Callithrix jacchus: one gene and its partner. The protein of the gene in region 1 interacts with the protein of each later gene in a biochemical or structural test. Links are inferred from orthologs where the notes say so. Each region holds a gene or a part of one and is shown on either strand. Other genes may lie near its edges.

Region 1 (4,205 bases):
CCCTGAGCCCACTCTTGGTTGGCTCCCATGAGAGCAGATCCTTCTCTGAGACAGGGAGCAGAATCCCAAGGCCTGAGAAGGTCAGCGAGTCCCCCCGCCCACGGAGATCCTGAAGGCACCCCATGGTCTGTCTGCTTTCCCAGGCCTCCCTGGTGAGTTCCTGCTAGAACTGGGATTCTCAAAGGCAGGTGCTGACTGCTTGGTGGTAGTCATTCCCTTCAATACTCACGTCTGCTCCGCCATCTGGGGGTCCATAGGGCTGGGGGAGTCCATGCAGAGACCTGAGGGGATGGAGCACCTTGGTTTGAGGGTTGTGGCACTTTCTGTATACTTTCCCCCACTATGTCTCAATAAGAAGAAAAAACCCGTGTCTAGTTTGGACTTTGACACATTAGAAAATGAAACAAAAACCCAACCATGGACCCTGAGGGCTGACACATTATTCCCCAAATAGTACAGGGTTCCACTCCCGGTTTACTATGAGACAGCAGCTTTTCAAAGAAGAGGTTATAGAATAAGAAGGTTCTAAAGACCAACTCTCAGTCCTGAGTGCTTCCCAGGTAGGGCTGTGGTTAACTTTGGTGCCTGGTTTTTTCCATAGGTGAGATCTCATCTCCCATGGAGGGCCCCACCCTCCCACCCACTCAGCCAGTCTGCGTTGGGTGTGGTGAGCCCCACCAGAGGCACGCCTTCCTCCCATCTCTGTGGAGGGTCGGGGAGCGGCTCCTGGGCCCACCAGGTTGTAGGGAGGATGTTAGTTTGATCGGCAGGGAAATCGGGAGGCCCAGGCAGCCCCCGAAAACTCTCCTGGCACTGGCAGACCTCCCCAGCCCCCACTGGGCCTCACCTGCATCAGAAGATTCAGAGGATTCAGACGACAGGGAGGATTCAGACGACAGGGAGGATTCAGATGCCCGTCTTGACAGGGGTAGGCATGTCAGCCGGCCGCGGCTACGGAAGAGTAGGCTCCCTACCTGACTCTCTGGGGTTTCGCTGGGAAGGGAACAGGGACCCAGGAAAGGAGAAAGGTAAATGTGGGGCTCAAGGCTTTGCTGGCCTGAGTTCCCACTCACTCGCTGAGAAAAGAACTGAGCGAAACACTACACCGGGAAAGTGATGGCCCCAAGGGCCGGCCCTCTTCTCAGGTCAAGGCAGGCTCATTCTACAGAGGCCCCAAAGCAGCTTCTCTTTGTTGACTGGTTTAGGACATGTCCTCCTAAACCAGGTGAGCCCAGGGTGTGAGTAAGGCAGCCTGGCTGGAGGCGATCTTAGGGGTTGGTGGTCTAGCAGAGCTGCCCCGGAGGGCCTTCCCCTAAACTGTCAGACCCCCACCTTTCCAGGACCCTTCCTGAAGGATGGAACAAGACCAGGTTCTCCTACTGGGACAACCCAGCTCTCCCCTTGCAGACTTAGGAAGCGCGATCAGTGTATACGTAATTGCCTTAACTCTGAGCACAGAACTAGGGTGGAGGGAGCAGGGGCATGGATGTGTGAGTGCTCCATGGCTCTGCCACACTCAAGTTCCCCCCTCCAGGCTTGGGATTCCCATCCTGAGGCAAAACAGGTGGCTATTTGGGTAGAGATTAGGGAGGCAGCGTGGTGGAGGCACAGTGAGGTAGGAGGGAGTGAGGGGAAAGAAGACTCGGGCAGGCTTGTGCGGACCAAGAGCAGGTCACCTGGAGGGTGTGGGAGGCACAGCCCAGGTCTCACCTCCCATGTCCTGGGCCCCATAAAGGGACAAGAGCGTACCTCTCCACTGCCCAGGACGCCTCCCCCGGACTCCACCTCCTGGATTAGGATACCATGCTCAGTTCTCCAGGAGGCCCAGGACTCCAGTCCGGGCCTCTCACTCCCATATCCAGCCTCCTTGGGGTGTCCTACCTGCCGAGCCCGGCGAGGTCGTGCATGGTCTGGGTGAGGGTGGTGACCGGCGAGGAAACGGCCGCGCGCACTGGGGACCCTAGGAGCCCCTGAGGTCCCAGCAGGAGGCCCGGGAGGTGGCCAGGACGCTGGGCGCCACCGCGCACGCCGGCTGGACTGAGAGCCGAGCCTGGCGCGGGCTCGGGCTGGGGCACCTCCATCGCCCCGGGGCCGGCAGAAGGCTGGTTGGAGGGCCAAGCGCAGGGCCTCCAACAGACGCCGGGACAGCTGGCTGGGCCGAGGGAAGCAGCGGGCGCGGGGTGGCGGGGGGGAAGGAAGGGAGAGAGGGAGAGAGGGAGGGAGGGAGGAAGGGAGGGAGAGCCACAGGACCGGGCGCGAGGGAGAAGAGGGATGCGGGGAGGGTGGGGTGTGAGGGACGCAGGGCTCAGGCACCAGCCTGGAAAGCCTCTAGTTGCAGCTGCCACTTCCACCTCCTTATATATTCGAAAAATAACAGCGGCCGCGCCGCTGGACGCCACCAATGGGGTAGCGGGTTAGAGGAGGGCGGGATCGAGGGCGGGGCCCGCGGGGCTGGAGGCGCGGAGGCTGGATTTCCAGGCTTTGGGTGGGCCAGAGGAATTAGGGTTTATCCCACACCCCCGCACATCACCCTGGGGCGAGGATCCTGGCCTCCTGAAATCCGCCTCTCGCGACATGGTTTGGAATTCCACATTCCAAAGTCGGCAGCAGCGCCCTAGGGTGGCCTCCGCAGGACCCCCTGCAGCTTATCGTCACCTGGGATCACAGCTAGGGACCGGGAGTTTGCTAAACCGGCTCCCGGAAATTTGCTAAACCCAGCTGCGCTGTGCTGTCTGCGTTAGGTATCCCATTTTACAGACCTGGACGTTGAGGTGTGAAGTTCATTAACTCCTTCAAGGTCTCGCGGTTGGCAGGCCGTGGGACAGGATTCGCCCAATGCCTGGGCCTCCGACCCGGCAGCCTCCCCGCCCCCGCGCCTGGCTGCGCTGAGCAGCAACAAAAAGTCATTCGCAGGCAGAGCGCCTAGCGTAGGAGGTGGGAGGGGAGTGGGGCCCCCAAGCGGAACCGACGGGAGCTTTCGGGGTACTCCAGGTTAGATGTTACCCCAACAGATTCAATTTTCGCGGCAGCCCCAGTAGTCCCACTAAACGGTGGGACTAGACATGGCTTTCCGAGGCTGGGGGTCGAGGAGGGTGTCAGCGGCCAGAGAAGCGAGTTAAGTATCACGTCCCTTGATGGTTTGGCTAACTTGGTGCCAATGGCACCATATTATTTAATTGGTGTTTATTTGATGACCAGACCAGAGAGGCTGAATTTATCATTCGTTTAAGCCGAGCATCTTCCAATTATCTAAATGCCTTCCAGCCCCGCCCGTTTTCCAGGCCTCCTGGAACGGGGGGGTCTGAAGGCTGCACCCGAAAACCAGTGGCTAGTAAGCAGCTTTCGCATTTCATTTCGTCTCCCGGGGTTAGAGGTGGCCTCTGGCTGGGTGGGCGGAGGTGCGGGGGGATGGAAAGGCTGAAGTTCAGGAAGGCAGGAGCGCCCCTTCTCGTGCAGTCCCAGCCTCCCGGACCCAAGGCAAATTGGATGGGGGTGGCAAAAGGGAAGGCCTGTAAGATGGGGGGCTGGGTGGGCCAATTCATGTGAAGGGGAAGGGAAGATCCTAGCCCCACCTGAGAAGGGTGGCCAAGGTGGGAACCCTGACCTTTCCTTTTCTCCACATTTTGCTCAGCTCCTGTGCTGTGTTCCAGGTCTCAACTTCTGGTTCATCCTCCCTAGGTCAGGGGTCATGCCCCGGACCTCCAGCCACCACTCCCAGTGAGGACGTGACTACCCTCAGTGCTAGGATGGAAGGGGGAAGTACCCTTGTGAGGCCACCCACCCCCAAAACAAGAAATAAAACCACTCCGAAGTTTGCATTTTCAAGATCAGGTATGCCCCTCATCCCCACCCAGCCAATATACATCTGCACAGGGTGTGTGTGTCAGGGCAGGCATTGTATGTTGAATCCCTTGAAATCCCACAGTCAGGTCACCTCTGGGCCAGGGGGAGGTGGCAAGACCACAGAGGGGTTCTGGGATTTTTATGTTTTGTTGTCGTTGCCTTTTTTTTTTTTTTTTTGAGAAAGAGTCTCTCTCTGTTGCCCAGGCTGGAGTGCAGCTGCAGGATCGAGGCTCACTGTAACCTCCATCTTCCAGGTTCAAGTGATTCGCCTGCCTCAGCCTCCTGAGTAGCTGGGATTACAGGCAGCTGCCACTATGCCCGGCTAATTTTTGTATTTTTAATAGAGACGGGGTTTCATCATG
Region 2 (3,646 bases), about 29 Mb from region 1:
ACCTGAACCCGGGAGGCAGAGGATGCAGTAAGACAAGACGCACCACTGCACTCTAGCCTGGACAACAAGAGCAAAACTCCATCTCAAAAAAAAAAAAAAGAAACAACAAACTACATTCACCTGGAACTTTCTACAACCACCTCCCCCAAAAATAGTAATCAAACAAAAGTCAGCAGAAGGTATTGAGAATGAATTTAAAAAAGTAACAGATCTGTATTTATCTCATAAAAGATACACTCCCATCCCCAGAAAAGTTTTCAAAAAAGTCCAAGATAATGAGTATGTTCAGGAATTAAAAGAAGTTAATAACACAAGCATTGTTTTGCTATGGTCAGAAATCACAAAGGGTCTTTCTCACCGTTTTTGCCAGGCTGCAGGCCTTTTCAGGAGAGTTGAGAATCTCATAGTAAAAGACTGAGAAATTAAGTGCCAGACCAAGTCGAATTGGGTGTGTAGGCTGCATTTCTTTCTTACTAATTTCAAATGCTTCCTGGTAAGCCTGCTGGGAGTTCGACACAGTGGCTGTAAGATAAAGATGCAAATATTTAAGGCTTGGTTCTTTCACAGATATCACACACTGGACCAACTATCAAATTATTTTCTTAATCCCAAATTGGGCAAGAGCAATGACCTATCAAATGAGGTATCAGTGTCTCTGCCAGTCAATTTTACATTTGTTAGATATTTATTCTAAACCAAGTTGTAGATTAAATGCTTGGGGGAAAAACAATTATGATAAAGTCTACGAAAGCATTTAAGAAATATAGATATAACCTTTAACAATATAGAATGTGAAAAACAATATGCTCTAGTGCAAAGATCACAGGCTTTAGATTTAGAGTTAATAGATCCAAACTTTAATTCCCAACTCTTATTCCCAAGTCTGTGGCTAGGGGCAACTAAAAACCTCCATAAAGCTCAGTTTATCAGAAAAATGGGCAGACTGCCATTTAATTCGTATGGTTGTACGAAGAATAAGTGAGACTCAAAAGTACTTGGCACATAGGCACTTGATAAAGTGTGGTTATGATTATCACCATCATAGTAAAACGTGTGATAAAAGAAATGCATCACTATGGTAGTTTCATACCATCAAGTATTTTAAAGTTTCACCACTAAAAAGAGAGCTAACAAATAACCCTCAAGATAAAAATTTTTTTAAATATACTACGCACCAGATTTTTAATGCCCTCCATATTTCCCTGTCAGATAAATATTTATTTGCCCACCCATCACCCCCATTCATCACAATGCTGTGGTCTTTTAAATTCTTAGTACTGCAGCGTTGGTGTCTATGGCAAACAGACAAAGCAAAAACTGTTAAAATTTCCTGTGAAAGCAGACTGGTTCCATTACTGATCAAATTTCTTTTTAAAGGTATTACTTACTTTGTTTGTTGTCTCCAGATGCCACTTCAGAAAGATACCTAAAATAATCTCCTTTCATTTTCAAGTAGAACACCTTACTTTCTGGTTGTGTAGCATTGGGAATAAGATATTTGTCCAACAGCTCCTAAAAAATGATTCACATTGTTGAGAATTTAGAATTATTCACAGGATGTTTAAAAACTATGTTTGAGATTCAAAATACACTACTGCTTCTAAATAATTTTTTAGAAGATAAAAAAAACATCAATTTTTTTCATCCAAGCTACTAAATGTTGTTTAGCCCAGGTCATAATAGCAGATGCCTGTATGCTTCTGTTAAAAATCACTTTGACCATCCATAGAGGATAATTAAAGTACAGCCATACAATGAAATGCTTTGTAGGCCTTTAAAATGATGCAGAACTGCACAGATAATGGAAAGCTCTCCAAAGAAATCTGAGTGAAAAAAAACAGATTATAAATACCACAAGAATCCTATTTTAACAATAAGATACCTATGTGTACATGCTCACAAATACCTAAGGAAAAAGCCTGGAAGGAGGATGTTAATAATGGTTCTCTGGGGGGTAAGATTAGAAGTGATTTTTACTTTCTTATTTATATTCCTCTGATTTGTCCTCCCCACCCTTTTTAAACCCATAAACTTGTATTACTTCTATAATTAGAGGGGGAAAAAGTATTTCCCTGGGAGTAAAAAGGTGGTAACAGAGCAAAACTGCCAAGAACTAAGTTTAGAATCATTCTGACCTGGGTAGAAATCCCTCTTCTGTCACTTATCTGTATGACTCTGGACAAATTACCTAATCACCTTGAGCCTCAGTTTCCTAAGCTATACGAGGGATCATCTTCTAGGGTATAGCCATAAGTTGACATACATAAAGCGCTTAACACGTTGCCTGGCACGTAGTAAGCACTCAAAGAGTAGCTAATACTATTAATAATAAATTCCTTTAAACATGTATGCTTACAACAAAAGTAGTTCTGAAGGAGTCCAAGCTTCGTATACAGAGCAATATTTTCGAAGAGTTGTTTTAGAATGTGGCATCCTGAAAAACTGGTTAAGAGGCAGTAAGTACCAAGCTCTTCTTCACCTTCTTTCAGATGCTCTTAAAAGTTGGTCTACATTTCATGAATTATGGACTTTCTTGCCCTTGGAATGCATGACATACTTCATCTGAATACCAGATGTACCTAACATTCAGGAATTAGTGCACCATTAACAAACCCCCAAATTACCAACAGGCAACAAATTTAGCCATGACACTCTTATGCCATGAGTCTAATAAAAACAGAAGCTCAATGCAAAGCTTACTTATAAAGGGATTTAATCAACCAAAGTGAGAAGACGCAAGGGGCAGTAGTCATTTTTTAATATTCTTTGTAGAGAGACAGTGTGTAACTCCTAATGAGTTAGGGACGAGGGGTGCTTCCTGATGGCTGACAAGCTTTGTACTGGTTTTCAAAAGAAAGGAGTCATGGGCAATAATTTGGAAAGGCAGACAGCAGGGGAGGAGGTAGATCCCCAAGTATGAATTCCTTTTCCCTTTTCAAAGCAGCCCTCACTCTTCATTTTTACCTGATTTCAATTGGAAGAAAAATGTTCCCAATGGGCTCAGGATGTGGGGGAAAGACAATACGACTGTGATTTGATTTAGAGTATGTACCTCTCCCATTCAATCTCAAGTGGTGGCCAGAGTGAATCAATCATCTGACTAAGGTGTATGGTAAAACACAGGAGAGAATCTCCAAACCACTTTGAATTTGGCTCTGGAATACAGGCTCAACTTGATGGATGTGCCCAACTTTCAGACCAAAGCAGGACTTACAGCCCAGCCTTTTTATCTCCCTCCGCTACTGGAGATGACATCACTACTCGGACTAATATATACAATAGCCTATCTGTGGCTGTATCTATTAAAATCCTGTCTATCTGGCCTCAATTTAAAAAGATGGAGGGAGGCTGAATAAATGTTACTGTTTTTTCACAGGTCTTTTTGACAGGAGAGGAAAATATCTCAGAAGTGATGTATCAGAACCTCTGATCAGGCAACAGGTGACAAAAATTACTGTATGCTTAAAAATTAGTTGTAAATGGCTGGCAGCTTTCCAGTATATTCAGACACCTCTCTCTCATAAGCTGTTTTGAGAATCTGCATTTATCCATTAATACTATTTAGAAACCACTGTTCGAAACAGAAGCACTGGCCTCTTACCAGAACGTCATTGCAGATGTCCTGCAGTTCCGCCTCTATCTTCTC

Evidence for each region.
Region 2: the proteins of CDC25B (region 1) and YWHAB form a complex in vitro, tested with the Homo sapiens proteins (2 studies listed by BioGRID). The link is inferred for Callithrix jacchus from reciprocal best matches to the Homo sapiens genes CDC25B and YWHAB.

Annotation. Positions count from the first base shown.
Region 1 is NC_133506.1:11,323,156-11,327,360, reverse strand, and holds the start of CDC25B (M-phase inducer phosphatase 2), read right to left. Parts: upstream 2,879-4,205; 5' UTR 2,082-2,878; coding exon 1,882-2,081; intron 994-1,881; coding exon 848-993; intron 282-847; coding exon 230-281; intron 1-229. UniProt on the Homo sapiens protein: Tyrosine protein phosphatase which functions as a dosage-dependent inducer of mitotic progression. Directly dephosphorylates CDK1 and stimulates its kinase activity.
Region 2 is NC_133506.1:40,262,094-40,265,739, reverse strand, and holds part of YWHAB (14-3-3 protein beta/alpha), read right to left. Parts: coding exon 3,602-3,646; intron 1,513-3,601; coding exon 1,389-1,512; intron 523-1,388; coding exon 359-522; intron 1-358. UniProt on the Homo sapiens protein: Adapter protein implicated in the regulation of a large spectrum of both general and specialized signaling pathways. Binds to a large number of partners, usually by recognition of a phosphoserine or phosphothreonine motif.